Drosophila melanogaster: one gene and its partners. The protein of the gene in region 2 interacts with the protein of the main gene of each other region in a pairwise test. Each region holds a gene or a part of one and is shown on either strand. Other genes may lie near its edges.

What was found.
Region 1: the proteins of CG18081 (region 2) and Nt5c interact in a two-hybrid assay, tested with the Drosophila melanogaster proteins (one large-scale study listed by BioGRID).
Region 3: the proteins of CG18081 (region 2) and CG14183 interact in a two-hybrid assay, tested with the Drosophila melanogaster proteins (one large-scale study listed by BioGRID).

What each region holds. Positions count from the first base shown.
Region 1 is NT_033778.4:9,575,749-9,586,024, reverse strand, and holds Nt5c (5' nucleotidase C), read right to left. Parts: upstream 6,576-10,276; 5' UTR 6,451-6,575; coding exon 6,189-6,450; intron 6,063-6,188; coding exon 5,659-6,062; intron 5,574-5,658; coding exon 5,278-5,573; intron 5,208-5,277; coding exon 5,021-5,207; intron 4,960-5,020; coding exon 4,819-4,959; intron 4,760-4,818; coding exon 4,608-4,759; intron 4,540-4,607; coding exon 4,335-4,539; 3' UTR 4,212-4,334; downstream 1-4,211. Other genes in the region: Urod (uroporphyrinogen decarboxylase), read right to left, coding at 1-294, 354-1,097, 1,224-1,238; Smyd4-1 (SET and MYND domain containing, class 4, member 1), read left to right, coding at 1,792-2,444, 2,500-3,520, 3,575-3,896, 3,952-4,211; Not1, read left to right, coding at 9,521-9,847, 9,907-10,276.
Region 2 is NT_037436.4:15,830,440-15,839,778, forward strand, and holds CG18081 (uncharacterized protein), read right to left. Parts: upstream 4,838-9,339; 5' UTR 4,755-4,837; intron 4,445-4,754; exon of another isoform or gene 4,441-4,444; 5' UTR 4,439-4,440; coding exon 4,295-4,438; intron 4,013-4,294; coding exon 3,923-4,012; 3' UTR 3,356-3,922; downstream 1-3,355. Other genes in the region: dbo (diablo), read left to right, coding at 1-53; CG12713 (uncharacterized protein), read left to right, coding at 2,089-2,348, 2,417-2,905, 2,971-3,211; CG15715 (uncharacterized protein), read right to left, coding at 5,720-5,809, 6,341-6,484; meru, read right to left, coding at 7,399-8,313, 9,070-9,215.
Region 3 is NT_037436.4:20,021,291-20,032,488, forward strand, and holds CG14183 (uncharacterized protein), read right to left. Parts: upstream 6,546-11,198; 5' UTR 6,472-6,545; coding exon 5,736-6,471; intron 5,682-5,735; coding exon 5,357-5,681; intron 5,300-5,356; coding exon 5,010-5,299; intron 4,948-5,009; coding exon 4,791-4,947; intron 4,743-4,790; coding exon 4,479-4,742; intron 4,408-4,478; coding exon 4,250-4,407; intron 4,166-4,249; coding exon 3,582-4,165; intron 3,521-3,581; coding exon 3,416-3,520; 3' UTR 3,397-3,415; downstream 1-3,396. Other genes in the region: kug (kugelei), read left to right, coding at 1-1,758, 1,821-2,102, 2,161-2,349, 2,663-2,692, 2,866-2,997, 3,059-3,195; Lamtor1 (late endosomal/lysosomal adaptor, MAPK and MTOR activator 1), read right to left, coding at 6,677-6,769, 6,825-6,895, 6,955-7,088, 7,356-7,519, 7,582-7,662.

The DNA of each region.
Region 1 (10,276 bases), on a different chromosome or scaffold from region 2:
CGCCTCCACCAGCACTTCCATGCTCGTGATCGGAGTCTGAGGCGTGATTCCATGTCCCAGATTGGCGATGTAGCGCGACTTGCCGAACTTGTGCACCATTTCTGTGGTCAGGTTGCGCAGCTCATCAGGATCGCGGTACATGTCCTGAGGATCCAAGTTGCCTTGCAACGTAATGTTCGGTCCGACCAAATTGCGTGCCTCCAGCGGATCCACAGTCCAATCCAAGCCAATAACGTCGTAGCCCAGTTCGCTCTGCTCCTTCAGCGAGTGCCCAGCACCCTTAGCGAACAGCGTCTACATGGAAATTCCATTTAGTAAGCATCTTATCAATGTTTTAGTCCATGGGAACTTACCATGGGAACCACGGGGATGGCCTTCTTTGTGAGACGGTCCACCAGCTCGTCGCGTATTCTCTTCAGGTAGGGTACACACCACTGCAGGAACTGCTCCTTGGAGAGATGCTCGGCGGACGATTCGAATACCTGCAGCATTTGAGCGCCAGCTTTCACCTGCATCTCCAGGTAGTCCACAATTGCGTCGGTCAGCAGGTTCAGGAACAGCTTAGAGTCCTCAGGATGTTCGTTGAGCCAAGCTTTAGCTTTCGACATGGTCTTGCTCCCACCGCCCTCGATCATATATCCCATTAGTGTCCACGGCGCTCCTGTAAAGCCGATTAGCGGCACTCGACCTTCGAGCTTGTGCCGCATCATGGTGATTGCGTCGCCCACGTAGCTGAGGCGGGACAAGGCTCCGTCCGGCGTCAGGCGCTTGAGGTCCTCCGGCACCACGATGGGCTGTGGCAGAACGGGACCAACGCCCGCGTGCATCTCCACGGTGAGGCCGAGTGCTTGCGGAATGACAAGGATGTCCGAAAATATTATGGAGGCGTCCAGGTCGAAGCGGCGCAATGGCTGCATGGTCACTTCGCACGCTAGCTCCGGGGTGCGGCAGACGGTGAAGAAGTCGTGGTGCTTTCGCAGCTCCTGGAACTCCGGCAGGTAGCGCCCCGCTTGGCGCATCACCCAAACAGGCACCCGGTCCACCACCTCGCCACGTGCGGCGCGCAGCAGGTTATCATTCTTGAGCACGGGAAAGGGCTGAAACTCATTTCCAATTTGATCAGTTTTCACGTTTTTCAGCAGGAAAATACAGAGACACAGCAATCGAAGTCCAAACGACATGATGTAACTGCAGGCGCCACTCCGATCAGCTGGGAAACTCACCTTTGCGTCTTTCATAGTGACTTTTGGCTGTTAAAAAGGTAGTAGAGGGCTAACGAAGTTATTTCCACTGATGAAATCCGTAAATTTGATTAAATCTGTCACGGAATCCCGCAATTCTGCATGAGTGTGCGTTCTCTGCCAGACTTTGTTTACGTTTTCGCCTGGTGGTGGGAGAGGTGCGATAGTCGCCGGCAAATCGATAATTAGCTAATCTGGACAACTTTTCTTTTTAGGAGAATCAGAAATTATTCCACTTATGAATAGTTAATTCTTTTTCTTGGCTTGGGTTTGTTATGTGTCGAGTGGCCGAAAGATAATCCAGATTTTGATATAACCCGTGATCATAAAACATTTAATTTTAATAAGTTAAAAGTTTTCGACGACTTTATAATATCCCTTGATTTCAATAGAATGTGAAATAATTCCATAAGGAATAGAACTAACTAGGGAAATAGAACTTAAATTTTGAAAAATAATCGATTCTTTAATTAGCGGCTACTCGAAAAGCACCTAAAATTCACCAACCGCATGATTTGATTTTTGTAAACAATTTTTGCAGCCGGTGGACATGGAACGTTTGGCAAGAACTTTCTCCCAGCAGAACGAACTGATAACCCTGAATGAGAACTACAAGGATGAGTTCGAAACCTTCAAGTCATTGGCATCCATGCCAGCGGACATTCTGCAGATATTCCAGAAGCTGGCGCTCGACTTGCTGCAGGATTTGGAGCAACCGGTTGACAGGAAAGGATGCGCAGAACGTTCGAAAAATCTGCGCGAGGAGGGAAACCTTATGTTCAAAGAGTCCGCATCGGGATCCTCCAAGGACTCGGTTCTGAAAGCATGCAGGCTTTACTCGGAAGCCGTTTTCGAGGCTGAGAATGCTGTGGAAGAGCTGTCGCTGGCGTTTGCCAACCGAGGAATAGCTTTGCAGGAGTACGGGTACTACAGAGAAGCCTATGACGACTGCTCCAATGCGCTGGAGTGCGGATACCCGGAAAGGCTGCGGCACAAGGTGATCATGCGGCAGGCCTTCTGCGCCTGGAAGCTGAAGAAGATTGCTTCGCTAGAGGAGCATTTGGATTATCTCGGGCAGCTGCAGCTTAAAGAGAGCTTTGAGCAGCAGCTGGAAGACCTGAAGCAGAAACTGGAGCTGCTAAAGAACCAACCCAGAGAGCAGGAAACACAAGGGAAAGTGGTGGATAAATCTCTAGGGGAAATGTAAGTTTCCAAATCGATTCTGGCCACTTCTTAATTTGTAACCTTTACTTCTCAGCCTTACAGATCCTGGTCCCCGTGGTCGATATATGGTGGCTAAGGAAGCGATTAGCAAAGGCAACGTAATCTTTTCAGAGCGCGCCTCCTGCTTTGTTCCATTGGAGCAACTGCTTATTTGCCAGCAGTGCGCCGCCACCTTAATGAGCGCACCCATACCCTGCCCCAATTGCCATCAGCGGGTAGTCTACTGCTCTAGGAAGTGTCGGGAGGCGCACTCGGCCATCCACAAATTCGAGTGTGCCGCCTACAGAAAGGATATCCTCCGACTTTTGGGCATTTCGCATTTGGCCTTGCGATTGCTTTTGACTTACATTCCCTACATAAGGCCTCATTTGCAAGAGATGACCAGTGCAAAGGGTATGTGGGAAGAAATAATGAATCTGTCCCGAAAACCGGAAGAGAGTGAAAACGCTCCAGAGTATTTGCGAAGCCTGCGCATGGTCAGTCAACTGGATCAGGCTATCGATGAGGAGTTAAATTACCACATCCTCTGTGCCAATCTCCTTCAACTTTACCTGAAAGAGCACACCGATTTCTACGATCAGTTCCACTCATTGCCAGCCAGCATTGAAGATTGGCAACTGATTATATCAGCACTGATTCTGCGCTTCGCCGGCCAGTTGCTGGCGAATGGGCATGTAGGCGATGCGTTGCTCGGAGTTGGCATGGAGCCAAAAGAGTTTGTCATGCTGCAGCCGGAGTTGTGGCAAAAGCCTCGACACCTGAAACGCGGCCAGCTGCACAATCTATCCCACTCGGATCCTATCACGGCTATCAATCTGCCCTACTTGAGCTTGTGCAACCACGCCTGCGAACCCTCAATTCGCACCAAGTTCGATGGATGTTCCGTGGTGAACTACGCTGCAAAGGACATTCTAGAAGGCGAAGAGATCTTCAATTGCTATACAATGGATTACAGAAACAGTTTAAAGCTACAACGATCTCATCCGCTCAAGGCCATCTACAAATTTGAGTGCACATGCGCTAAGTGCACACGAACTGATCCCGACCAGAACTATGTACGTTTTCAAACCAAGCAAAGCCATTTGTAAATGTCTTTCCCAATCTTCCAGCTTTCTTTTCATCGTTATCGCTGCGAAAAGCCCAACTGCCGACAAGAATTTCTGCCAGACGCCAAAGTTCAGCAGAATAATCTTCGCTGGTGGCTGAGATGCAATGCAGAGAAACCGATTACTTGCACGGTGTGCCACGAGCTTCAACATTTCGCCTGGTACAATGAGTTCCTTGGACTCATCGGCAGCAGTGCCGATTCGTCAAAAAGGCAGGCGCTGTTCAAGGCATTCGATGATCTAGACAAGTGGCTTGTGGATCACCACAGCTTAAAAAGAATTATGGCCGAGGAACTGGTAACAGCCTGTTTTTATGAGATAGATGGTAGGCTACGGCTGGATTTTGTTACGTCGTAATTTATAAACCTCTACTTAAACAGGAGGCACTTCATTGGATGAGTTTGAGTATGAAGATCTGGCGAGGATTATCCGCAAACAGCTGGAAGGCATTGCTGCGCAGTGTGGCGATAACTCAACGGAATACATTGCTCGCATGACCTATTTGTGGGATATCATAGCCCAGAAGAAATGCCGCACCGATAGAAAGGAACTGCTAGAGATGAAAGGTAAGGTGGATTATCTGGCTAGCGAGCATCGCGAGGTTTTCTTGAACTATTACAACGATTTTATTGAGCAATAATGTAAATAACGATATACACGCATTAAATTCGCTAGTTTCGAGCTACAAGCATTAAACACTGGCACTTCTTGTTACCTACAACTAATCTGAGCTTCCTAACGGGCATTCGTCCCCACAAATTCTCTAGATAAAGTGGGAGGCATATTCGTGGGGCATTACACCCCGTCGGGGATAAAAGGTGTGGGTGGTGGAGAACTTGAGCAGGTTGGTTATGTCGCTGGTGTAGATGTCGGCAAAGCGGAAGAGGCGTCTTGAGAAGTAAGTGGGGTTGTGGTAGGTGCGGAAAACGCTGCCAAACTGCTCGTTGAACACGTTCTTCGTTTTGTTGCTGTCGAAGATTGGATTCGGATTTAGAGATATTATCGTAAGCCACTAGATAAATGTATATTTTCTTACCGCAACTGATCCCGCTCCTCCATCCACTCCTTTAGGCAGATCTGCGCTGCCTCGCTATCATCGTCCTGGGTGTCCTCGATGAGCTGCGTCAGCATTTGCAGCCAGTTGGCGCTCATCTTGAAGTCCTTACGATTGAGGGTTTTAATTTCGTGCTGCAATACGAAAATACCCTTAGAGGCAATACGATAATTGCTTGATATAAAACACCCACAGCCAGTTCGCTAATAATGGCTCCTGTCCTCCAGCTGTGCTTCAGAGTAACATCTGCTAGGTCGCTGTACGGATGATCTCCGAAATAGAGCACAGAGTGACCACGCCAGCCCTTCAGCTCTTGAAGCTGTCTCACCGAACCCTGTGAAGAACATCAGACAACAGGGTTGATTACTAACCAAGTGGGAATGGGAAACCCTTACCTCGTAGTAGATTTTTCCCTTCTCCAGCTTGAATACCCGATCCCATAGGTGTGACTGCGTTCGCTCGTCGAATAGCCTTATTGGTCGAGATTCATCCGTAAAGAACTTTGGTTTGCGGGCCTGCACGATGACCACATCGAAGAAATCACGCCAGTTGGCGCCGACCAGAAAGGACATGCCACAGTTTCTACAAATGCAGACATAACGATTTCGTAAATTTTAATTGTGGTAAAATAAAAGATGTCACATTCCCTTACACAAACGAGTACGGGCTATTGGTGACTAGAAAGAGATTCTTGCCCGCCTGCTGCAGCTTCTCGAAGAACTTGACCAGCTTCGGGTTTCGTTCTATGTACTTCTCAGTGTTCCGCATCACCTTGCCGTGCATAATGGGATGGCAGGAGCCCATGGCGGTCCTGGTGTCATGGAAAACAATCTCTGGATTGTAGTCGATTCGATTGCGTTCAAAATATTCGATTACATTGCACAGCAGGCACATTTCAGGTACAGAAAACAGGTCGGCCAATTGCACCATTTTGGAGTTGGTGTTATGCTGTGCGAAAGGAGATCGTAAATCACTGATTGCTAAACACAAAACCCAAGCGTAAGCCGCCAGGTGATAAGATATCGATACGAACCCTGTAGCTATTGTTCGGCCCCTCCACGTAGGCAATAGGCAGCAGGCGGTTGTGGTAGAGCTTCAGCACCTCATCCGCCTCCACTTTGGTACGTCCCCTGTATACCGAGCCCAGCTGTAGCTGCAGGAAACTGTCCAGTTTCACCAGCAGCCCCTTTTCCACGTCGTAGTGCAGGCCGCGTACCGCAAAGTTCGGTTCGTACTCCAGCTGGAGGATGTCCTCCGGGTAGCGGAACCTCTTCACCAGCATCTCGCGAGCCAGATTGTACAGCAGGTCCTCCAGGATGGGCTTATAGCAGGCCAGCGTGTAGTCGTAATCGAATCCGTACACCTGCACCTCGCTGAGATCGAGCTCGTTGCAGGCGAAGACCGCATCTGGATGCACATCGGAGGGCAGCTTCTTGGCTGAAAATGTCAAGTGGTGCGAAACGGGAGGGTATGTTACTAATGGGACCACTTTGCGGCTGGGTATTTATAGATCGTGCACATACTACGCATATATGCATATGCCTGCGACTGGTTGAGGCTTACATTGGAACTTCTTTTTGGTGGCTTCGTGAAGCTTTTGGAAATCACTCACTGTTTTTGGGTGCGAGATCTGGGCGGTTGCAGCTGGAGCGGAAGCTCCAGCGTCCGACGCGAAAGCGCGCGCCTCGAAACTATAGTTTGGTTTGCACGGCGAGGGGGACAGGCTGGAGGAGATGGGGTCCCAGCTCCGGAGGACACCACCAGCTCGCAGGAGCACATTCTGCCGAAGGAGAGCACTGACGATGGGACTGCCTGCCGCGCACATTTAACTGACTGCTTGCTAAATTGCCAATTAAGCCCGTTTGTTATGTACACTATGTGGGGGCGGAGTGGGCTGCATGTGGATGGGGCGGGGTGTGACCGGACGGAGGGCCCCCAAAAAATACCGACTCGCGGTTGGAACTACTGTGGCCATATGCATATTCAAATTATTGAACCCAACATTTAAAAAATTGTAAATATTATATAATAGGTTAATAATAAATTACCTTTGCGGAAACATCTTTACGATAAACATTAAAATAAGAAGTTAAAATTGCTTGACGCTACAAGATTAAGCAATTGTGTTATTCTTATTTATTATTGATATTTATTTATTAAGGCGTAATTTATGTATTAGCATTTGAATTTATTGTATATTTATTACTAGTTTAAATTTAACGGAAAAACATCGGCTATTTATCCGTTACTAATCGGCAAGATTTGCCGCCGTTTTTGGTAATTCAAAAGAGTATTACAGCTTTTCTGGTATAAGTTCCACATGGCGTTATGGATTTCTATATTTTAATCACAAACCCGTGATTTGTAACACTATTCGTTGTGAGTGCCAAGCAGTAGTGACTGAACTATCGGTTGCTGAACACGCTTCCCAGGGAATGCAAAATTTTCATTTCGGCAATAATTAAAAAATCCACGAGTGCAAACAAATTTGAAGTAATTTTCCTAGCATACATATACAAACGAGCCCAAAAGCTAAACTTGAAACACCAAAGCAACCGGAAGGAAGTGGAAAAGGAGGTCGACGACGATCAGCCATATATTCTGCCTCAATTGCCCGTGTGTGCGTGCGTGTGTGTGGTAGTAGTAGTATTTTTTCATTTCTGTTTTCGCTGTACGTGCGGATTGATTCATATTGTTTCATTACGTGAGCTATTGCAATATTGTACACACTGGGCCGAGGACATAGCCAATCGGATTTTTCTCATGAAACCATTAAACCGAGTTTAATGTTTATTTGATTTACGCGTAAATAGATGCCGCCTGCAATGTAGAGCTGCTGATGGCCCCTTTTATACGGGGGCCGCGGCCAATGAATCTACAGACCCAAAAAAGAACAAAAAAAAACCAAGGAAGGCAGAGACAAAAACAAATTGCGCCGTAGGTGAAATGAAAAGCGCCAAGAAGCAACAGCGAATACGTCAAATATCTCTAATCTCCAATACCAGTGCACGCTAAACGTGTGTGCTGAACAAAAAATTCTGGTGGCCTCCAACAAAAACAACAGCAACAAGAAACATCCGCTGAGGAATTGACAACTGATACGTAGAATTATGAACGTAGAGAGCCAACTGAAGACACCGCCAACGCACATTCGAAATCTGGTCAAGCACGTGAACAAGCGAAATTTTAATGAGAGCAGCGAGCAAATAAATCAGGTAGGTGCCCAAGTTATTCTACCAAAGTTTCCATGAACCATTTCCAATTCATTTTGTCAACAATAACAACAACATTTTGTAGGGGGCGGGGGTTTAGTGTTGCCAAACCGACAACATATCGCACCTGGCCAACCAGAGTTGCCAATTGTTCGCACTCACGAATGGGCTATTGCCATTTCACTCGCTCGTGCATTTTTGCCGACGCCATTACAGTTTTTTGGTAAAGGCAGCTGAAAAAATTTCTCTGCACGGCGTTGCGCGTTTTGTGAGCGTTTTGTTTAAGCTAAAAGTTTTATAGAATGTGTAAAACCAGGCCAATTGTGTGCGCTTAGCCACAAACGTGTTTCGTGAGTTGATGGCAGTGTGAATTTTGCAGCGTAGTAGTGCGAAATCGAATTGCGAAATTCGAATTGGGAAGCCCAAGCCAAGCGCAGGGCTTTTCGGCCCCGAAACTTCTGTTTTTTCATTGCCAAACGAGAGAAACCAAATTGAATAGTAAGTTCGTGGGACAAATTGCGTGGGAATATCAATTGCGGCCGCTTTCTTTTCGCTAGAGTTGCAATATGTCGCACTTTTTCCTGTGACCCCCTTCCTTTCGCGCACCGTCATGCTCTCTTCTCTCCTTACCCATGTAACGTTTCGCCAACGTGTGCGAGCGAGAGGGCGCGTGTGTAATTTGTTGTGGAGCAGCTGCGACGGCGGGGCCAAAGCTGTTGTCTCGCTCCCCCGTTCGGAGTGAGGCCTTGATTCCGGACTCCGAGCTCCGGATCAAATATTTCAACAGTTTTGGATCCGTAGGGAGGGAGGGGGATATCTAGCCTCCTAGAAAAGTTTTGCCATTCAAATTAGTATCATAACAAATACTTGGCTTAGAATGGCACCATTTGCCCAACAATCCCCTAAAAAGTAATCGTTTGTGGGACAAACTATGCTACAGATCCCGTTTTCTTGACAGTAAATGGCATATTCCTCAAAAATTAAAAAAAATGATAAAAAAAAATGATAACAAAACAGAGTCATATACTTCAGTATTTTGAAATTCTCAACAATCTATATCTGCCATTTAAAAAGCCTGATAAGTTTTCAAGTTATTCGAACTCAGTAGGATTACCAAATTTTCACTGATATTCAATGTTGGAATGAAGTACTAGGATAACCCAACGGAATTTATAGTAAGAAAGGTCTAGGAATTTGTTGGATTCCATGGAGAAATTATCGGATAGAAAATACATTAACTAACTTAACGATAGCCCAATTTGAGATATAGTCTTCCATTTAGTTATAGCATTCAAGATAATCTCAGAAACCTGTGAGCCCAACAATGGTGCACCTAAACTGGAATTCCCAATGATAAAATTCATGTTTTAACCCTCTGGTTGCGCTTTTAAAAAGCCAATTGGGTAAAGTTTTTAAGCGGGCAAGAAATAATGACTTAATGGATTTACTTTTGAAAACAGTTGCCTGGAGTTAGAAATAATCCCTCCAAAATGTTACTTTACATCTTGCCCTGTATCCGTAAACACATATCCAATTGTACAGAGAAAAGTTGAGACACTCACAGAACATAATAGAACCTGTCAAAATTTCCAAGTTTGCGATGAAAATCACATAAAAAAAAATCCCGGTCACCGCAGAATCTGAGGAATCGTTTGAAACATACACTGTCCCTTATACAGTGATATGTGTCCCAGATTGCGGGCAGTCGCTGTCAAGGCACTTATATTGGCTTCCAAACCCTACGCAATGCAGCTCTTTGATTCTAAACCATACATTACTGATAGCATTTACGACATCTTGCAGTTCGTTAAAGAGCACGGCCTGGAAGCGGATCGCAGCAGCCTGCGCCACCTGTTCTCCGTGATCAACTTCAGCGATCTCGTGCCATCAGTTACGGTCCAGCTGCAGGCGAAGCTCCTGGGCATCCAGTTGGAGCGTCAGCTTCACAGTTCATCGTTTGTGTCCAACATCTGCTACGCTTTTGACCAGTTCTTCGCCAGCAACCAGAAGGTAAGTTGAGTTTACAATGCCCACAATGTGTTGATTACTTATGGATACTCATTCCTAAGCAGTCCCTGAAGCCTGTTGCGGTAGCGGATCTCGTTGGCCAGGTCGCCCGACTGACCGGCATCAACAAGGTTTGTGAGTGCGTCTTTGCCTTGGCCTTGACCCACTCCTCGTACACAGAACTCAAACATTCTGCCAGGAACAACCTAAAAGGTAGCCTCAGCGAACTTATAGACTCTTACTTGGGTAATAAAGGCACCGGCCCAGCCGACAGCGGTCTCCGGGAGATCTCCTTCGATCTACTGCAGTATTTGTTGTGCTGCCTTAGCGAGTACGTACAACCGCAGGTGGAAGCACAGTTTTTGATCAAGCTTCGTGAGGAGTTTCCGCGCCAGGCGGTACCGCTGGTTCTAGCGCCGTTCCTTTACGGCT
Region 2 (9,339 bases):
AGACTGAGAACTATATGTGGTGCGAAAATAGTTTTAAGCAACCGAATTCCTGAAACTAACTCAACTCCCATCCCTTCCATTGCTGATGAAATGTTGTCTTGTCTCTCTTTTCCCCCCGAAAACATGCTAACAAATTCAGGATACGGAAAGATTCTGTTGTCTGATGGGAACAGCAGCCGACAACGTTGCCCTCGCAAACGTTGCCGCCGCCGCACTTCTACTAACAATATCCGCAATCGAAGCCAAATCTAATCGACTAAACAAAACATCTTTTCGCCCCATTGTCTACTAGCAGTGTAATCGCTTTGTATTAATTGTTAATTGTTTATTTGGTAGAGCCTAAAGCGCATGTTTGTTAGACTTTTCCGGAATAGTATTAGAGTTAGCATTGTTCCCACGTTCACCTGCAATAACACATCCCCATCACTCCTGTGCGTAATTATATATGATTCTACTGTATGTTAAGCAAGTATATTTTATAAATAACTTAATATCTAAATGTTGCCGGTGGTATTTCATGGAAATCGCTAGCTCATAACCATGCCTTCTTTCGAAAAAAACAAAACAAAATCAAATATTAACCTAGAAACGAATTCGATTAGTTGTAAATCCTTAAACGAAGAGCTCTAAAGTCAAGTAACAAATTGGTATTAAAATAATTTAGATTTAAGGAGTGAATTCAAGAAAGTTTGTCCGAAATTAAACATCACAATGGTGCAATATTTCGATCGACCAACTAAACGCTGTTGTTTAGTCAAGTACACTTTAAATCTTTGCAAACGTCTTCAATAATACCACGACTATATGAAGTGAACCGAATAATTGCAAAGAATTTAAAAAAATAATGAATATTCAGCCTGTCAAGCTTAAAAAAAAACCATTAAGGTAATCACACACACACACAATGAAGAAGTTAGACCTAGCCCAAGATAATTCAATAGTAACAATTAACAATTACGCAGCCGTAAGATCAACTTTAAGGTAATAAATTTTAATATTGTTAATCCTAGATCGTGTAAACCGGTAAGAGTTTTCGGCCGGAATCAGGTCAAGTTTTAAGATGACTTATTGTTAAACCAAGTTTGACCATCGAGCTGAATGAACCAACTCGAATTAATCGCTTAGATAAGGGAGTTAAAACACAAGTAGACTCTCAATAACAACACATTTTCTTTGTTGCCTTTTACACCAACACTATTAAACAATTATTTATTCAAAATTATTATTTATTACACGCTTTCGTATCTCATTTAGTTTATTTTAGGTGCACATTTATAAACTGTTGTTAAATCGAGCAAAAAGGAATGATCTTTGCTTCCAAATGATGAATAAGAATAGCATTTATAAAAAACCAAGCTTATTTATATTATAGCTTTAAGTCAAAATGGTCAACAATTATACAAAAATTCGCATACCACCCATTATGCGTAGTTAAAAAATAACATTTCCTAGTTGTGTTGAGTGGTAAAAGTGCTTAACGCAAATAATAGAAGTGTTAACCTAAGAAATGATCGTAAACCCGTGCTATGTATAAGAATATATAAAAATAAAAATATATCAAAATTAAGACACTTTGTTTCATTCAATACATTACAGCCAAGGGCGGAAATTGCTGCCAAAAAATAATTAAAAATAAATATCCAAGTGTACTATTTTGTATTATATTCTATAATTTATAAATTTGTAATGCAATCAATGTACCGTTACGCGGTACTGGTACGCATCGGTACAATAGTTACGATATTGGATCCTTTACCGATAGCCGATGCTCGAACCCGATTGTTTTTGTTTTAGGCCTTAATTCGCACACACTGATTTGGTGGCACTACACACATTTTGTTATTTTAAACATTTTTCAAGAAGTCAATATTATGATAACAATTTTATGAAAATAATTGAACTAAATGCATTCGGAACATTTCGATATACACTGCCGACCAGTGTGAACGCTTCGCGACGTGGAGAAACTTCAGGCACGTCAGCTATCGATAAATTAAAATGTGTATTCGATTAGCGTACGTTAAACAGCTGTTTATTCTGGCGCTCTTTCATACGTTCGCTGAAATAGTTTTGTATTTCTGGCCGGAAATGATGTCCCAAATTCCGGATTTGGCCGGCGGAAATGGGCAACAGAAGCGAAAGATTCTGAGCGGCGGCGAATACAATAAGATTTGCCGGTTTATCAACGGCTTCCACGGCTTGGCCATCGACTGCGAGTTCGAGTTGAGGAATCGCTTCTTCAGGGACGTGGAGCCAATGGCATTGACATGCATCCTGCAGTCGGAGCTTTTTAACCGGTCGCGTGGTCACTGGAAGCAGGATCAGCGCGGGAAAAGGCTTCTCAAAGCGTAAGGCCACAATCTCGTGTTCTTTCCTGACACCATGACCAATAATAATCCAAATTGCTTGGATTCAGCTACGAGGAGCAGAAAAACCTATACTACGACAATGCCCTACTGATCCGAATGGCTTGTGCCGAAGCACTGAACCCGGTGGCTCTCTGCAGGATGTTGCTGCAGGAGAAGTACAAGGATCGGCATCGATCGCACATCTCACAGCTTCTTAGGCATCCGCATCTTATCGACGATCCCAAGCTGGCGGCCAATGTGCAGCAGTGCATAGTCAGCGACAATCAAGAGGGATCCATAACGGACCTGCGACGCCGCATAGTTGGCGAGGAGTACGAGCTTAAGCTTAAGAATCTGGCTAAGGAGGCGGGTATCCATTTCTACGACGAGAAAGATTTGCGACGCATGGGATATGACAAGACGCCGGACATCAAGATGATCCTGCCATTTCTTTACAAAGGCTCTGTGATCAACTGGATCGAGAGCAAGGCCAATTTTGGGGACACCAAGGGACACAAGTCGAACATCCAACAGCAGCTGCAAAGCTACTGCAATCGGTAATATGAAAGAATTCATTCTATAACTATTCTAATTACATATATATATATATATATATTGTCAGTTTTGGTCCTGGAATGATAATCTATTGGTTTGGGTACCACGAGGAAACGCCTGCGCTGCCGGATAACAACATTGGCATTACAGTACTCGCTGATTTTCCGGCAAAAGAAGATTTGGTTTTTATGCAACTCGCGCATGAAGAATACTCCGCTGAGACTCCGACAACGAAAGAGGACAGCAGTTCCGGGAGTCAACCTATTGTAGCTGAATGTCCAACCAAAGAACTGAAAAAACTTTCATGAAACTGAAAGTGCAGGGAAATCGTTAATGTATACTTTTTAACTATAGAACGAAATGTGCTTGTTAAAACAATGTACATAGAAAGCCTAAATTTTAAGTGGGATGTTGCCAAATGTTAAGTAGCATTGAAACCATCAAAGACAGGAATGCTTTGCATTTATACACTAACCATAAGATTAGACAATGCTTCTGCAGCAATAACTTTTCTCTTTAGTTTTAACAATTATACTGTTTTTATTGTATTTATAAATTCTCATTTACATGATGTATTCAAAGGTTTTTTAGTAAAAAAATCGTATACAAAACTACGACATTGTCAGCATCGTTGTTCATAATAGACCAAATCAAAGACAAAGCACAAGTAATTATTGTTACTCAAATTGCTAGTTGCCTTTCAGGGAAAATAAAAATCAAAACAAAAGTATTTATTTTACTATGTGTAAATTTTCTTTGTATTGTTGTGGTAGCCATATGTGTTATTTTCAAAGTATAAACCAAAAGTCAGCAGTGTGTATATAAAAAATTCAGCTGGGCCCTTAGCTTTGGAAACTATGTTCTAACTTTACGCGCCCTCCTCTCATCGACTTAAATGTTGATGTTTGTTTTGTCGGGGCTGTTGTAAAGTTATTGTTTCAAAAGTTTCGTACTGGTAGGAAATTCGTCGATTTCGATCAGCTTGATATATTTATATATGCACGCAGCCACATCGGTCATCAGACCTCCTTCAGCTCATCGGGCATGTCATTCTTGGGATGCTTGTTCTCGAAATGCTGCTTGTAAGTCTTCGGATCGGGCATTTGCGACTGAAATGGAGACGAGATTCGATTAGGTTTCAAATAAACCACAAAGTACGAGTAATAAATATAAAATAAGGCATTACTATAACATTCATCTGAATCGAATTCTTTAGTTTAAAGCTCCTGAGATGTCGAATGTTTTGCGATAAATTTTCTTTAGTATTTGCGTTTTAAAACCTCGACGTTAAAGTAAGCGAGTTCTTGCGTGATTCTTCGAGCTGTCTCAAAACCATTTGATTAACCCACTGCAGTTGCTGACTTAGGGAGGTTTCACTGTAGCTGGCTTACCTTGCAAACGGCGCACACATAGACAAGTGCCTTCTGGGCCGCCTTCTTCTGGTCGTTGGCACTGTGTCCTTGTTGCTTCTTTAGTTTGGCCTGCTTCTCGGAGGCCTTCGCCTGCGACTGGATCTTCTGGTGTCCACGTGCCATTTCTTGCTGTTTAAGTGGAAATGGATGAGTTAGCATATGTAGTAGTACCGTCTATGTGCTTCACGGGATTCGCAACAAAGGTGGCGGAAGCGCAGTCACTTTCACTTTCTCCCACACAGCTGAATAGGTGACTCTTGGGATTACCAAACGGAAAGCACAGTTTCCGGTCAGTATACTATAGTTAAGATACCAATTATTTATGTTTTGGAAAATCTGACACGACACTGTACTCGAACAACAACAAAGCACGCCCACAAGTGAAAATGTGGATTGCGACCACGTTCTGCGCCCTTTTTGCGAATCCACCGCTGCTTACCTAATTAACCCGATTAAATTTGGTTGGCTGTACTAAATGCAGGTGTGATGCAGCCTTTGCAGTTACGTAAAATTCGTTGTTACAAACTGTTTTGATTTTTTACCCGAAATTATTAACGATTAACCGTAAATTTGTATCAATTTGTCGGGTTTTGTTTCGCTGCCAGGATTAAATGGGACCAGAGCTGAACTATATCCAAAATGTTTGGGCATAAATATATGTGGGTTCGCGTCTTGGACTAACAGCTATCCTGACTTAAACCACTTAACGGTACTCGTAATAAATTTTCCTATTTCTAATTATTTGTATAATTTTTAAGCATTTCAACATTTTTATTTTTCGTAATAAAATAAAAAAGTATTTGTTATATGTTCGTAATTTAAAAATATTACCTACTCCCCCGAAAAAGTATTATTTTTATCTTAAACTAAAAGCACATCTAAAATAATATTTAAATAAATTATTATATTATAACAAATTATATAATTTTAACATTTTTATTTATAAATTGTCAATTACATAAATTAGTTATAGTACAAAAAGATTTATTTTCTTTCATTTGTGGCATAATTCGTATAAAACTTTCACGTGTAAACAAAAATCCAAAACGGAGCTCAGAGTATTTATGGTGTTTTAGATATCTTCCTGTGGCTTAGGCAATAAATATCAAAATTAAACAATTTCTATTCATTTTTTAAGGTAGGTAGGTGTCTTTGTATTGGTTTAGCCACACATCGAACAATCGCATACTGTGTTAATTTCAATGTATAAAACAAAACCAAAATTCAGCAGTGTGTATACGAAAAAACTGGCATTTGTATATTATTATTACGACTATTATCCATCCTCTTGGCTTCGGCTTGATTGTGGGCTTTCTTCTTAGGGCTGATGCAAATTTATTGTTGCAAATGTTTCGTACTGGTAGGCAACTCGTCCATCTCGTTCAGCTTAAAGTGAAACGATCATCAGACCTCCTTCAGCTCCTCGGGTATGTCGTTCTTGGGATGCTTGTTCTCGAAGTGCTGTTTATACGTCTTGGGATCGGGCATTTGCGACTGAAATGGAGGCGAGATTCGATTAGGTTTTCACCCAAATTGTTATCCACATACATAAAGGAACTAGGGGTGCAAATATAGCAACTTGAAAACAGTGATCGTATATCAATATGTTATCATTTAAAGTAATCAAATATCAGCAGTGCTTGGTCATCACTTAATTTAAGATAACGTTGGACAAACATATTCATTTGATATTGGTAAATATTCATGTTCAATTAAATTAATTTGAATTACTTACGACAACAAGTAAAAGCAGTTAATGTTAATAAAGTAGGAAGTGCATATAAATTGAAATACTTTTTTTTTATACACTCAAAAACATGGGTAAGAGCGGAAACTAGTGTTAAAACAATATCACAAGTAAAAGTGTTTCTGATTATGATAGTTTTAAGGAGCACTACATTTTGTTATTATTTGAGTTGACTAATAACTCCATCATACAGAAGTTAACCTTCTGGATGAAATGCAATAGGCACTTTCAAACTCTAGTTTGTTCGCTTTACAGAGGCTTCACTGTAGCTGGCTCACCTTGCAAACGGCGCACACATAGACAAGTGCCTTTTGGGCCGCCTTCTTCTGGTCGTTGGCACTGTGTCCTTGTTGCTTCTTTAGTTTGGCCTGCTTCTCGGAGGCCTTCGCCTGCGACTGGATCTTCTGGTGTCCACGTGCCATTGCTTGCTGCATGCAAATTCGAATGCAAATAGAAGGGTTAGTACGAGTGGATTGCAAAAAGGTCATTAATCATCTGTGGCCCAAACGGGATTTGCAACAAAGGCGGCAGAAGCGCAGTAGCTTTCACTTTTTATCCCCACCCACTCAAAAAGTAATAGCAGGAATTACCAGTCACCAGAGAGGATTTTGCTGGATCTGTGCACGTCTATCGATAAGATATTAATAATGTTTTAATCAAATCCGTTGCGTTACTGTACTGCAACAACAAATCACCACCACCACTACTGAAAATGTGGATTGCGACCACGTTCTGCGAGCCACCATTGAACTTACCTAATTAAGACGATTAAATTTGTTTGGCTGTCCTAAATGCAGGTGATGCAGCTTCGAATTTGAGCAAAACTCGTTGTAAAGTAAGTAGTGATTTGCTACCCGAAATTATTGACAACTTTTCTTAAAATACTTTTAATTTGATGGGTTTTGTTTTCTGCCAGGATTGAATGGGACCAGAGTTCAAATGTATCCAAAATGTTTGTCCAGAAACATATGTGGGTTTGAGTCTTTGATTGACACTTACCCTGACTCAAACCCCTTAACGGTACTCACGCATAAATCGAAAAAAACTGTCATTTTAACAGTTGGGAGTTTTAAGAATTTAAGATTAAGATTATTCATATGGTTATTGAACGTTTATGATAGTGAAATAGTAAAGTAGATAGTTCAATAAGTTTGTTCCCTAAAAACACACTACCGTTTTAAAATTATTTAAAACTTGTATTATTAAGTAATTTGAAATCATTAATCATTAACAAGTCTTTCAAAAACACAACCATTAAAAAGTCTTAATTTATAATGCTTATACAAAATGTATATTTATTTTGGTAGAAAACTTAACAAGTTACAAATAATTGCAATTACACCAGCATACTGGCATTATTATCGCAAAACTCGTAAATATTATCAACAAACTGCATTTCCTGCGTATTTTTAGCAACTTGAGGGGTATTTTCATTTTCCTGTAAGGGATGTGTTATTTTTGCTGCGCCTTTTTTACAGGCGGCATCTGCCTCCGATTCCTCCAACGTCAGACGCTTTAAGTTATTAATCAGCGATATATCATGTTTAATTTCATTTTTCAATTCGAGAAGTTCGTGTTCAGTTTTAATAATGTCCTCGGCATAGGCTTCGATATTTTGTTGCAACTGCCCGACCGATAGCTCCATTTCCGGTCCCTTGTACCGTTCGTTCTGCAATCGGTACAGTCGGCACATTTCCGATAGCTGACGTGTTAGAGCGTGTTCCTTTTCATAGCGAACATTCATATCGGCATGAAGAGATGCCAACTTATATCGTACACTATTTCGCAAGGGCTTATCCTTTCGCCTCCTTATGCAGTTATTAACATTGTAGTTGTTGTTATTGCATTCGCTGGGAATCGCTGTTCTAAATGTTTCAACCGAGGCTTTGGTTATCTCGTGACGACTTCTTCTTCGATGACGCTGCTTGCTGACGCGATTCTCGGCCAGTTTATAAAGTTTGGATTTGGCAGTGTTTTCGGTACCCCTATACAGTTGGTCTGGCATTATAACCAGCACCAAGTCATTGGTCATCGTTTGCTTTTGGCCGTGCACTCTCTTCTCCTTTAATTTGTTCGGCACTTTTGGAGGCGTTTTTGTGGGTTTTGGTGGCGTCTTTTTACCCTTTTTCAGATGCAATAGCTTCTTGAGCCACTTGTACATCGAAAATCCCGTGGCTGATTGTGAATGGGGCACTAATTGCATGGCAAGGGGATCTCTGAAACTATCACGATGTTTTAAGGAGATGCGGAGCTGTAAAAAAACAGGAGAAATAATTATTTATTAATGAATTGAAGTTCGTTAAAAACTTAAAAGTTTATGACTTCTTGACCATGTTTTACTCCTCACTGTATATTGTTCTTATTTACGCCACAAATTGACTATTTTTTTATTTATACAAAACAAGGTAAAACTAAATATCCCACTTTATGATTATATTGTCATTAATACATCTCTAACAATAAAACTACCTTGGCGCTTGTTTTTAACCCTTTCCATCCATTAACTGGATAAGATCATCAAATAACAATTAGGAGTTCCTTTTCCTCGAATAACATTATTCCCATTGCTAATGGTTGGGGTCATAAAACATTTACAACATAATTAGACCAAAACGAAAACATGAACTTTGATATAAAAATCAATAAGCAAATTGATTTCACTCTGTGCGTCATAAACAAATAAATACGAAAAGCCAAAGCATAAGTCAAATGCGAGTGGTACTATATATGTACATATATATATACATATGTACATATATAATAGGCGCGGGTGTGACTTTGAAAGGGGGATATAGAGAACGTATGGAATGGGTTTTCGAGAACGACATGAATTTCTTGGCTTGCGTGTGGCGCCAGGAAAAAAGCGCTTATTATGCAATCACTGTAGACTTTTGGTTTTTTTTTTTGTGCTTTCGGGCCCCGTTCGCTGGTGTTTCTGTTTTATTTTGTTCCTTTTCTTTCTGCACGCCAGGTGGGATTCCCCTGGTCCACCGACCGTTGCCATTACCTCATTGTGTACACGGCTCCAAGCGCGCCAAACGGGCAAAATGGCCATGTTGCCATCATAGCACCGCTCTATTCCGCCCCAACTTTCCGTTATAATGTAATCGCTGTAGTCACGCGATGCTGCTGCCGTTTTCCTCTGGCCGCCATCTTGTTTTTCCAACGTGCGGAAAACGGGAAAATTGAATGAAACGGAACGAAACGCAAAATGAGAGAAAATAAAAGAAATTGTAAATAAGGAGCATAAATAAATAAAAAGCCAAATTGTGATGTA
Region 3 (11,198 bases), 4.2 Mb from region 2:
ATGGAAAGCACTGCAAAGAGACTGTGAATGCCTGCTCCACGGATCCATGTTCCCCGCAGAGGATCTGCATGCCGTCTGGCTCGGCTTTGGGTTACCAATGTGTGTGTCCCAAGGGATTTTCAGGAACCTACTGCGAGCGGAAGTCTTCGAAGTGCAGCAATGAGTCCTGTGACATGGGTCTATTCACTGCGGTGTCCTTTGGCGGAAAGAGCTATGCCCACTACAAGATCAACAAGGTGAAGGCGAAGTTCACGCTGGAAAACGGGTTTTCCTACTCCCTGCAGATAAGAACTGTGCAACAAACTGGGACTCTGCTGTATGCCAGCGGCAAGGTGGACTACAACATCCTGGAGATCATAAACGGAGCTGTTCAGTACAGATTCGATTTGGGCTCGGGCGAGGGAGTCATCAGTGTGTCCAGCATTAACATCTCTGACGGCGAGTGGCATCAAATCAGCCTAGAGCGGTCCCTCAATAGTGCCAAAGTGATGGTGGACAACAAGCACGTCTCCCATGGCAGTGCTCCGGGTGTGAATGGCATCCTGAACATCCAGTCGAACGATATCTTTGTAGGCGCCGAGGTTCGTCCGCATCCATCGATAATTGGCTACGAGGATATTCAGCGTGGCTTCATCGGTTGCATGGCAAACATCAAAATAGCCAAAGAGTCGCTGCCATTGTACATTTCCGGTGGGAGTACCATTGCTGCCTTGAAACGTTTTACGAATGTCGAGTTCAAGTGCGATCCGTCGAATGTTCTGGTGCGCCTGGGCATTTGCGGATCTCAGCCGTGTGCCAATAGTGGAATCTGCAAGGAACTCGATACGGACGTGTTTGAATGCGCCTGTCAGCCCCGATATTCCGGCAAGCATTGCGAGATTGATTTGGACCCTTGCTCATCGGGACCCTGCTTGTTTGGCGGCAGGTGCGACTACCACGGACCGAACAACTACAGCTGCACGTGTCCCATCCACTTATCCGGAAAGAGGTGTGAGTACGGCAAGTTCTGCACGCCGAACCCGTGCAAAAACGGTGGCATTTGCGAGGAAGGCGATGGAATATCGCACTGCATGTGCCGCGGCTACACGGGACCCACTTGTGAGATCGATGTGGATGAGTGCGAGAACCAGCCGTGCGGCAATGGAGCGACCTGCATCAATGAACCCGGAAGTTTCCGTTGCATTTGTCCATCTTATCTCACAGGAGCCAGCTGCGGCGATCCCCTGTATTCGAACTCTATTTCTACAAAGCTGAAGAACTTTTCTATAGAGCACATTAGCGGGATCATTTCCGGCGTGGCCGTGGTACTGGTCATCATCAGTTGTGTCCTGTGTTGCGTGGTGTTGAAGAGGAGTTCCTCTTCAAAGCGAAGGAACCGACTAGAAAAGGACAAGAACAAGTCGTCGTACAAGGAGGCGAACTTGAACTCACTGGTGGACAAGGACAATTACTGCAAACCAAACGTAAAGTTGAGTAACTTGGAGGTTAACCAGCGTCCAATTAGCTACACAGCAGTTCCAAATGACAACCTAGTCCTGAGCAATAGGAATTTTGTAAATAACTTAGACATCTTGCGTAGCTACGGTTCGGCCGGCGATGAACTGGAAAATGTGCCATTCGAGTACCAGAAGGTTAATCGAAACAAACAGCATGTGAACATAAACTCCTGCCATTCAACCGATGCAGATAATGCCTACAAACAAGAATGGTGCGAGCAAATGCATTTAAGAACCTTCAGTGAAAATAAACTGAACAATGGTAAGTCAATGCCTCTTAGTGTCAGATAGCAAAAGCAAATATTAACCTGCTCTTTATTTCAGAACTTAAACGGGATTTCGGACCATCTGTGAGTCGCTTTTCAACTGGGAAACTAATCCAAGTTGAAATGCCCAACGTGTGCCACTCTTCCAGTGCGAATTTCGTTGATTATTCAGCTCTTGCCAATGGTCAGTATCATTGGGACTGTTCCGACTGGGTTCGCAAAAGCCATAATCCCTTGCCAGATATAACCGAAGTTCCTGGAGCAGAAATAGCTGATTCGTCGAGCTTACACAGCAACGATAGCAACGAGTCCAAGTCGAAGAAAGCCTTTTTCGTGCACAGTAAGTATAGAATTTAAAACTCGTTTCCCGGACCAATAACTGATTTCACCACCAAAAGGGGAAGACGGAGATGTTGATCCGACGAGGGATATAGCCGCGTTGAATGAGGATATCGGATCGGAGTATTTGGACTCGGAGGCAGAGAGCTGCTTGGAGCCGTTTATGTTGCCAAGATCAAGTAATCAGCCACTTTCAAGACTGAGTTCTTTTAATAATATCGAGAATGAAGACTATAAATCAAATACAGGTAAAACCCTTCGTTAAAATGTTAAATGCATCTAATAAAATACAAAAAAAAAAAAAAAAAAAAAAAAAAAGGAATTGATTATTATCACTAAACGTTTTCATGTTTATGTTCATAACAAGCTGATTTATCTTATTGGCTGTTACAAAATCGCAGTTCATTTTTCATTTTATAATTTCAACAATTTATTTAATACATATTGCACACAATATCTAACTCTTTCCTCTTATAAGTAATTTTGTTATTCCTTTAAACTTTCTAACAAATAACATCTTTGTATACTAACCTATTAAACTACTTCATTTCATGCAATCAGTGCCTTTACCGTCGAAAGTTAGTCATTCGTGTAAGTTTTGTATTCATTATAAGTAATAGTCCAATGGTTATTTATAAATTTAGGTCAATGCTTTTTTTATACTGAACCTGTATTAAATTAAAAATATTTGTTACTGCATATTAACCACATAAAATGTTACAAGAATCTTACTTCAAAATGTCCATATCTGATCTATTCCACAGGCAAAGTATATTTAAGACATCCTGATTCGTATTTACCGACGATGCATTTTCCAAGTGAGACCGATGGGGAAAGCTCTATGACCGAGGGGCCGATTTCTAGGATGGAAATAAAAACCAGGAGGACGATAAGTGGTAAGCAAGGGAAATGCCTTTACATATCTTACAAATATCACGATTCTCTCTAATTATGCAGAAAATTCAGAGGAGGCATACCTATTTCCATGCACTGTCGGAGAAATTGGATCCAACAGCAACATTTCGGTTCGACTGTGTGAAATTGAAGATTCTGAGTTGGAGGAGTTTTTACCACAACAACAAACAAACAATTAAATGACATGCTTAATATATAAGAACTACATTTTACACAAATTATTTCATTTCGTTAGATACTATTTTCCATAGGAAAACTTTGGTTATATATTTTCAATAAAAAAGACACAAAGAACATCTGCACTTCCATAGTATCATTAGTTTAAGGCCAAGGTAAGTTTACACTTACAAATAGTTATATATGAAAATGCATATTTAAATAAGTTTTAAACTGATTTATTTATTTCTTTTTGCTTGCCTTCGCCAACTTTTGAGCCATATACGATTTTCTCAGCTTTTCCAGCTTGTTTGAGCTGCCGAACCATTTATTGAACTTATCCATTATCTAAAAAGAATTTCAGTTAAATGACTTAGTTGCTAAACATGTATTAAGTAAGCAAGTATACCTTCTCATCTGGAGGGAAAATGGGAGGCTCATTCTTGCTCAGGAAATATTCAAGGAACTCGTTCGGATCCAATGCCTCATTCTTGAGTCGCATCTTACGGTCGATGTTCAAGGTCTCCTTAACGTTATCATCAATGTCGCCGGAGTTGTACGCCTGAAGGACGCGTGCCAGTGCCGAGTAGGCGTACTCCTTCATGTCATCTGGCGCGTTCTCGGTCATCAGTTCCAGCCACAGCAGGAAGCTAGTGCCGTAATCGCACTTCGGAATAAGCAGTACTTTTTGGAACGCTCGCTTGATGCCTCCATTGGCCGCCCAGGGCATGTTACTCGTGCCGACTAGTACAATTTTGTCATTTTTCTTCAGTGGTTTCAAGATCTTGCTAGCTAACGAGGTGCCCAGCAGTCTGGGGTTAATCTCCACTGCCTCAGGCGGAACCTTTTTCCAAAATAGTCTATGCGCTTCCTCGATGTACATTATGGTGGGCTGAAAAGCCTTAGCCACTTTTAGAATAACATGCAGGAAGTACTTCAAGTCTTTGGCATATTTGTAGGTATTCTCGGGACTTAGGTTCATAAAAACTGCATCTGGAGTAGACAGAAGGTTTAAGTGCTCCGACAAAAAAAAAAAAAAAAAAAAAAAGAACAATTCCCAACAAAATGTTACTATACCTAGTTCGGATGCAATGATTTCACACAGCAATCGTTTTCCGCTATTCAGAGGTCCAATTAGCAAAAGAGACTTCGGCTTCGGAACATCGAATTCGCCCATTCCCAGCATCGACTCTTGGATAACCATTTTAATGTCACCCTTTGCTGGGCCCAATGTGCTGAATTTTAAATCGATATTAATTTTTTTTGTTAGGCTTAGTAGCTCTTTCAACAAATAACTACAACATACGTTAAGCCATCTTCATCTCGAGTGTCGTCTGCCACAAAGTTGAAGTCCGTTATGAACTCATCAAAGTCCCTATGACCAATTTCCTCTATTATGCCGGCATCTTTGAGCTCATTGTACAGGGATTCCAGTGTCCGATCGCCTGTCATGTCCTTGGGCTTCTTCTTCCTCTTCTCCTTCTTCTTCTTAGGATACTTCACCTTGAGAGCCTTGTACTTCTCATCGTTATCCTTCGCCAAGGCCTCCCGCAGCAACTCATACTCAACCCTGGAAGTTGAAAAGTTATATTTTCATTGTAAATATAAATAAATTTACCTCATGTATTCGTCGACCAAGCCCCTCACTTCCTGATGAATCTTTGCCAGTTGCTCCTCAGTAACCCATTCCTTGATGGGATCATGATTCTTGTTTAGATATTCATCGACATTTCTCCAGTCCTTGGAGTACTTCTTCATTGTTTCTTCAATGTTTTCTAAAATTGAAGAGAGTATTTGGAGACAATGGAAACATTCTCCATTAAGTCAAACTATCTACCAATTGCCTTGCTTGCAGTTAGCTCGTAGCCAATATCGATGACTCCAGCGTCTCTCAATTTCTTCCGACGTTTAGCTTCCTTCATTTTCAGTTGTTTTAGCTTTTCCTTCTTTTTCCTTTTCTCTTTCTTCTCCTTATCGCGAAGTTTCTTCAACTCGGCTTTTGACAGCGGCTTTTTACCAAGGCTTTCCTGAAATTCCATTGGCGTCATTGTTTCATCAATGACAACCAGTACCGTTCCTTGTTTTACAGGATCGGGATAAGGATGAAAATTCCCAGTCGCGTCGTAGCTGTTAAGTACGAGTTATACGTTTTTGCCTTTTTTGCCTCAATGAAAAACAACTCACAATTCCTTGAACCATGCCCGGATATGATCGGATATATCTTCCATCATCCATGGACTTCGGAATTGCAGCAATCGGGTGCGCTCATCGTTGATCAAGTTGATGAAGTCCTCATCCAGCTTCTTCTTGAGCATCTCGTTCTTGTACATTTCCATAATAGAATTTGCCGTCTGATTGGGTCGCTTCAGTTTCCTAATTTTCTTCATACCATACAATTCCTCCTTGAACCGCTTCCTAATCTTAACTATTTTCCGCGTCTTGTAACCACGCCAACAACTTTGGATTTTACAAGCAGCATTGTTCTGTATTGCACTTAAGGCTTCCTCATCTAGAAAATAATTAAAAACCAAATTAATTGTTTTGAAACGATCTAGCTACTTGCCATCTATTGCGGTATCCGCTACATCATCCTTTTTGATAAGATTTTCGCAGGACTCGTCCGCCTTCAAGAAGTCAGCTGAAAAAATGGTTCTCTTCACGGGAATACTCATTGCCTGATCAGGCTTAAAGGTGAATTTGTAATTTATTTTCTTTCTTTGATGGACCTTGAGGAACTTTTTCTTGTCGTACTTTATGTTGGACTTGTAAACCCGAGCTCGGCGCGCCCTCTCGTGAGCTTGGATAAGCTTGACCGCCTCACTGATCGGAACCCAATCCTGGGCTGCCTTTTCTTCCTTTTCCTCATCGTTCATGTACAATCGGTTGTCGGCAATGATATTTTGAATGTCCAACGGGCGACGGTAAAGGAATTGTGGTGACCTCCATACGACCAGGTCCCGTGGTGTTAGCTTCCTAGCGATCAGCGCCTTATCTATGTAAATGTATTCGCTCATTTCCAAGTCTTTTAACTCCTCCTTGAGTTGCATTAGCTGCTGAGTGGCATTCTCCACCAAAACACGTACCAATGCCCGCTTTTGCACTTGGAAAGTATTGTGGTATATGAAACTTAACTTATTGACCAGCTCCACATACAAAACATAGAGCTCTGCGTAAATTTTATACGATACTGCCTTTTCCTCTGGCGGCTCAATCTTCTTCAGGCGGTTCTGCTTCTTGATTAATTTACCAATTTCCTTGCGCGTGTAGACCCAAAATTTATGGTTAAGATCGAACGACATTTTGGATTTTAGCTATATGTGTGTGTGTGTGCCTTCCTAAATAAAAAAAATGTCTTGCCGTGTTAAGAATATAGTATGTATTTATTTGCTTCTGTACACTTAATGAAAATAAGTCGATTACCTGGTTATTCAAGGGCTACTTAGTACCAATATAGATTTTGATTTTATATAAATTTATCACTTTATTTCACTTAAGATACGATAATCAGGGAATCCGGAAGGGAACAACCACGGCCTCTTTGTGGTCGATCTGTATGTGCGAGACACTGATGTGTGCCTTCTCGGTGAAGAGCTTCATCTAAAAACATACGAAATTGGTAAGCAACAAGCAATTTGCGAAAAGTAAAACTCACTTGAGCAGTGTCATCTGGATAGGTTGGCTTAGACAGATAGAACTGATGGCTTGGTACATCTTTAAGGAGACCTGTTGTTCATTTAATTGTTAGTCATCATTCACCCTTTCAATCTAGCTATATTGCAAACCTTTTGGTGCGATACTGGCGTGCTGGCCGTTGTTCCACTGTTGATGCAACCGCTGCGAGTACAATCTTATTCTATCGGCGTACTCCTGGTGCTCCAGGCTGTGACAGTCCATGGCTCCAACGTTTATCATGTTTCTGGAGAGCAAAGTAGCGTATAAGCGAATACAAATATAATATAGATAAGCGATAATTAGGGCTGTGTTGCTTTGTTGCATTGAACATCCCGATAAATGCTTGGGTATAACCATACTACATACTAGATCCTGCCATCGCTATAACTACGTAGGTATACTACTATAGTATAGTATAGTATAGCAATCGCTGTAAAATGCTAGCATTCCAATCAATGGAATTGTATATGATAGTGCCAAATGTGGACCCTATACACTATCAACTACGTACATCGCAGTATTCTGCACCAGTCTGGAGAGGGCGTTCTGATCGTCCTTCTTGGGAAGGGAGTGGGCGTAGTCGGTGCTGAGGCCATCGGAGTTGCTCCGTCGAAGGGCAGGACTATGGTTCACCGGGTCCACGAGAAGGTGTGTCCGCTCGTTCGGCTCGTTGGGCTGCAGATGGAACGCATTGTGTATTCGGTCTGTTGACGGGGAAAGGGGAATGTGCGGATTACCTGCGCACCTGGATCTTCGGTGCATTGCCAGCAGTTGCAGATCGAGGCTAGGTAGCTCCAAACAGAGTGCACATACTCCATTCTAAATGCAATTGTTCAATTGTTCTTTATTTTTTATGCAAGTTTTTCTAGGGATGGAATTGTACATATTCGATAAGATCAGTGCTACCAGACAGTTTAAAACAGCTGTATACATACTTGTTATCGATTAGGCGCTAAATATTACAATTTTAATCGGACATTAAATTCATGGGTTTTCATAAGGGAATACTAGTTTATTACTTACTGTTCCTAGCGTTATCCTTGTTTTATTTATTATGAAATACTTTTTATTGGGAATTAAGTTGATTTAAATTTATACTTTATTAATTTGTTATATTTTTATTGGAAATCGGCAATAATTGTGAAGATATTAAAAAATTTAACTGCTTTTGGTAGACATCAATTATTAATTTGAAATATTTATATTGCTGTTTTTTCTATCAACCTATATGACATTTTCCCCAACAGCCAGCCCACGAGAACGAGCACATTCTTGATTGATGAAGATGCCAAAATTTCAGCCAACGGAAGTTGCTTATCTCGTCGCTTCCTTCGTGCCAATCAAATGAATTGGGCCGCACATTTTTAATTGTGTCGCTCGAGCAGTAAGGACAAAGGATGCGGAGTACGCCAGCTACTCGCAAGGAACGGAGAACGCCCTTAAATCAACGACGCGGTTAACCATGATGGCGAAAGCGGCGAGGCGGAAACGCAAATTCATTGCCGAGGCTGCATGACATGGGGGCATGTGTGGCAGTGCTGACAGCTTTTGCTATCCTTTCCACAAGAAGAACCTCTGAAAAATGTAAAACCATAATAACATAATGTGTAATATTGGGGTTTCTGAATGGGCTGATGTTCTTCGAATATCTTACGTAGAGTGAAAAAGTTCAAGATTCATAAGAATTTAAAACTTAATATGGCCGTTAAAAAACAGTTTTTCTCTCCAATACGGTCTAATTTATTGAGTTTTCCCTTCAGTTTGTTCTTCTGTTTCCGCCGCCTAAGTGAATTTATTGTCTCCTCCTGGCAGCACTGATGTGGGCCTCGTCATCGCATCCTGATCCTTTGCGCCACCTCCAGACCCGGCACCATGCCCATATATTGAGCCAGACGCACACTCACACTTGCTGGCAACTTGTAACTTCGTTTTGCCCCGCTTTTGTTTCCGTTCCCTGGCAGCGGAAGCCGGGCTAGAAATTTCATAACTGCCACAAGGAGCAGCTTCACTTCAAATTCAATTATCCTGCGCCTGCACACGGCCCCAAAGGATATCGATCAGTACATCTAAGGAGGTGCATATGTCTGCGGCTTGCCGACCGGGAATAGGCATCTTACATCGTCATTTTGCGATACGCCATCTAAGGGATTTCCTTCGAGGATGTTGGGTTTTATCTAGACAGCTCATTAGCTGAGTAAGTCCATTGTTTTTAGATTTATGATGATATACTAACCAGCCAGGAAAACAAATATTATATACAAATTATGCATTATACATAAAATTTTTTTAATAAATTATATTTATTTTTTATGCTAAGAGCATTTAGCATTTCACTTGTGAGGAAACACTATATTCAGTATTTATTTAATTTGATGGCTTTGCAAAGTTCAATTTCTGCTAGCTCATTTGGTCTGGATGGGCGTGGTTCGGCGGAACTGTAGGCAAAAAACCTCAACCACATTAACGACTTAATGAGCACCCGCGAAGCAGTTTGCCACTTGATTGCCCACGGGGTGGCACCAGTCGCCGCTGATTGGATTCAGCTGGTGTTTTATCTAGGGCCTTCGACTTCCAGCCAGTTTCAGGTTCAGAATTCTCCGGCTCATTGTTGCATCGACAAAGAAACGCAGTTTACATCGAATAGCTGCGGATTATCGGAGCCACGCCCCCAAAACCCATACCCTCGTCCTGCCGCAGAAGTGCGGCACCACAGCGGTTTCAGTATGCAAAGCGCAAGGCATCCGGAGGCCACATAGTCCTCCGTCCACCTCCACTTCGGCGGATAAATAGTGCCGCGCAAACTTACAGCGGGAAGAACAACACTTTTATGCACAAGACTTTACATTTTTGCTGGGCGGACGCATCTGCAAACTGCGCTGTAAGAAAGTTAGGGTCGATATATATACTGGATTTGAATTAATACTCTAACAAGGATTTGTTCCCTTTTCACTTATGTCAAAGGTGTTATACTAGATTTGCTTATAATGCATGAATCCGAAATGATAGAGTCTATGTACTGACCATATGACATCTAATTTTCTTTCCGTGTAAGTTGTGCGTCCCACAACTCCAGAAACTTTTTGCCCCAGATTGTCGGTGTTGACTTGGTTAGCAGTTTGGCCCTTCGGCGAGCCTTTGCATCTGGCCATAAACGTCGGGGGAGGCGATAAAGTTGAACCTGATTATGCAGCTTTATTAGAGGTGAACGATCAACTCGGAATGGCCCAGAAAAAAAAGAGAAAAAGCGACTCTTGCAGTCATTAAAAAATATACAAATATATTGATATATTCTATATTATATAGTAGTATACCCTACAGTTCCACAATTCATCGCAACTCAAACTTATAACTTATCCCAAAATCGGGAAAACAATTAATCTTAAAATCATCAATAGTTTTCTTACAAACAAACTGAGAGGTCGAGATACATACTTCGTGGCGATTCGCTGCTGAAAACGTAATGAATGTAACTGCAGGGTATATAATCGCTGCAAACCAAACAAACATAATGTAAAATATCGATCCCAGTTAACTGGCTTACCGCATAAACTCGTATATAATTCCCTCTACCCTTTAAAATGTCACACATTCGTGCTAAATTCATAAACTTGCCGCTGTATCGGGTTTAAGCTGCAGCTGAAATACGACAAATGCTTTTGGAATGCAATTCAATTTCCTTTTTTGGCCAATTCGCGTCCTCGGCGATGTCGCTATCGCCGTATTTGTTGGCCTTAATTTTGCAGGAGCGATTCGCCGAGCAATCTGTTCCATTTCTGCTTGACATTTCACTTAGCCCTGGCTTAATTCCCGATTGACACGTCTGGCTTATTTTGGTACTACGCACTGCATTTATTTCCGACTGCGCTGGCAAATCGATTTTTTCCAAGGGACTCCGGACACATGGCCAGGTTGCAGTACTCCACCTGCCGGACCATTGGCAGATATGGTAAATTCTGTTTACCCAGTTCTTGGGCTAACTACTAAAGCATCGGATTACTCGTCGAGCAGTTGATGGCGGGAAATAGTGAGCTGCAAAATTCTTAATTAATTCAGATTGGCGAGGATGCAAATAGCACAATGGTTACCTAGACATCCATTATTAAGGGATTGCTTACAAAATTTAAGCAAACATTAAGGTCAGATGTACAGTATGGAAATGTAGTTTAAATATGTCTAATATCTTACAGGCCGTAAAATGAAAAGTTCAACCACAAACAAGTGCTGGCAAAACAATCGAATAGCTGTTTGGTTACTCCAAACCAAAAAAGCCAGATCAAATCGTTTAAGACAAAACTTAGCCCCAAGTCTGCCCAAGGATTCAGATTTGGCCAGTGATAGGGAAACCACGTGTCAG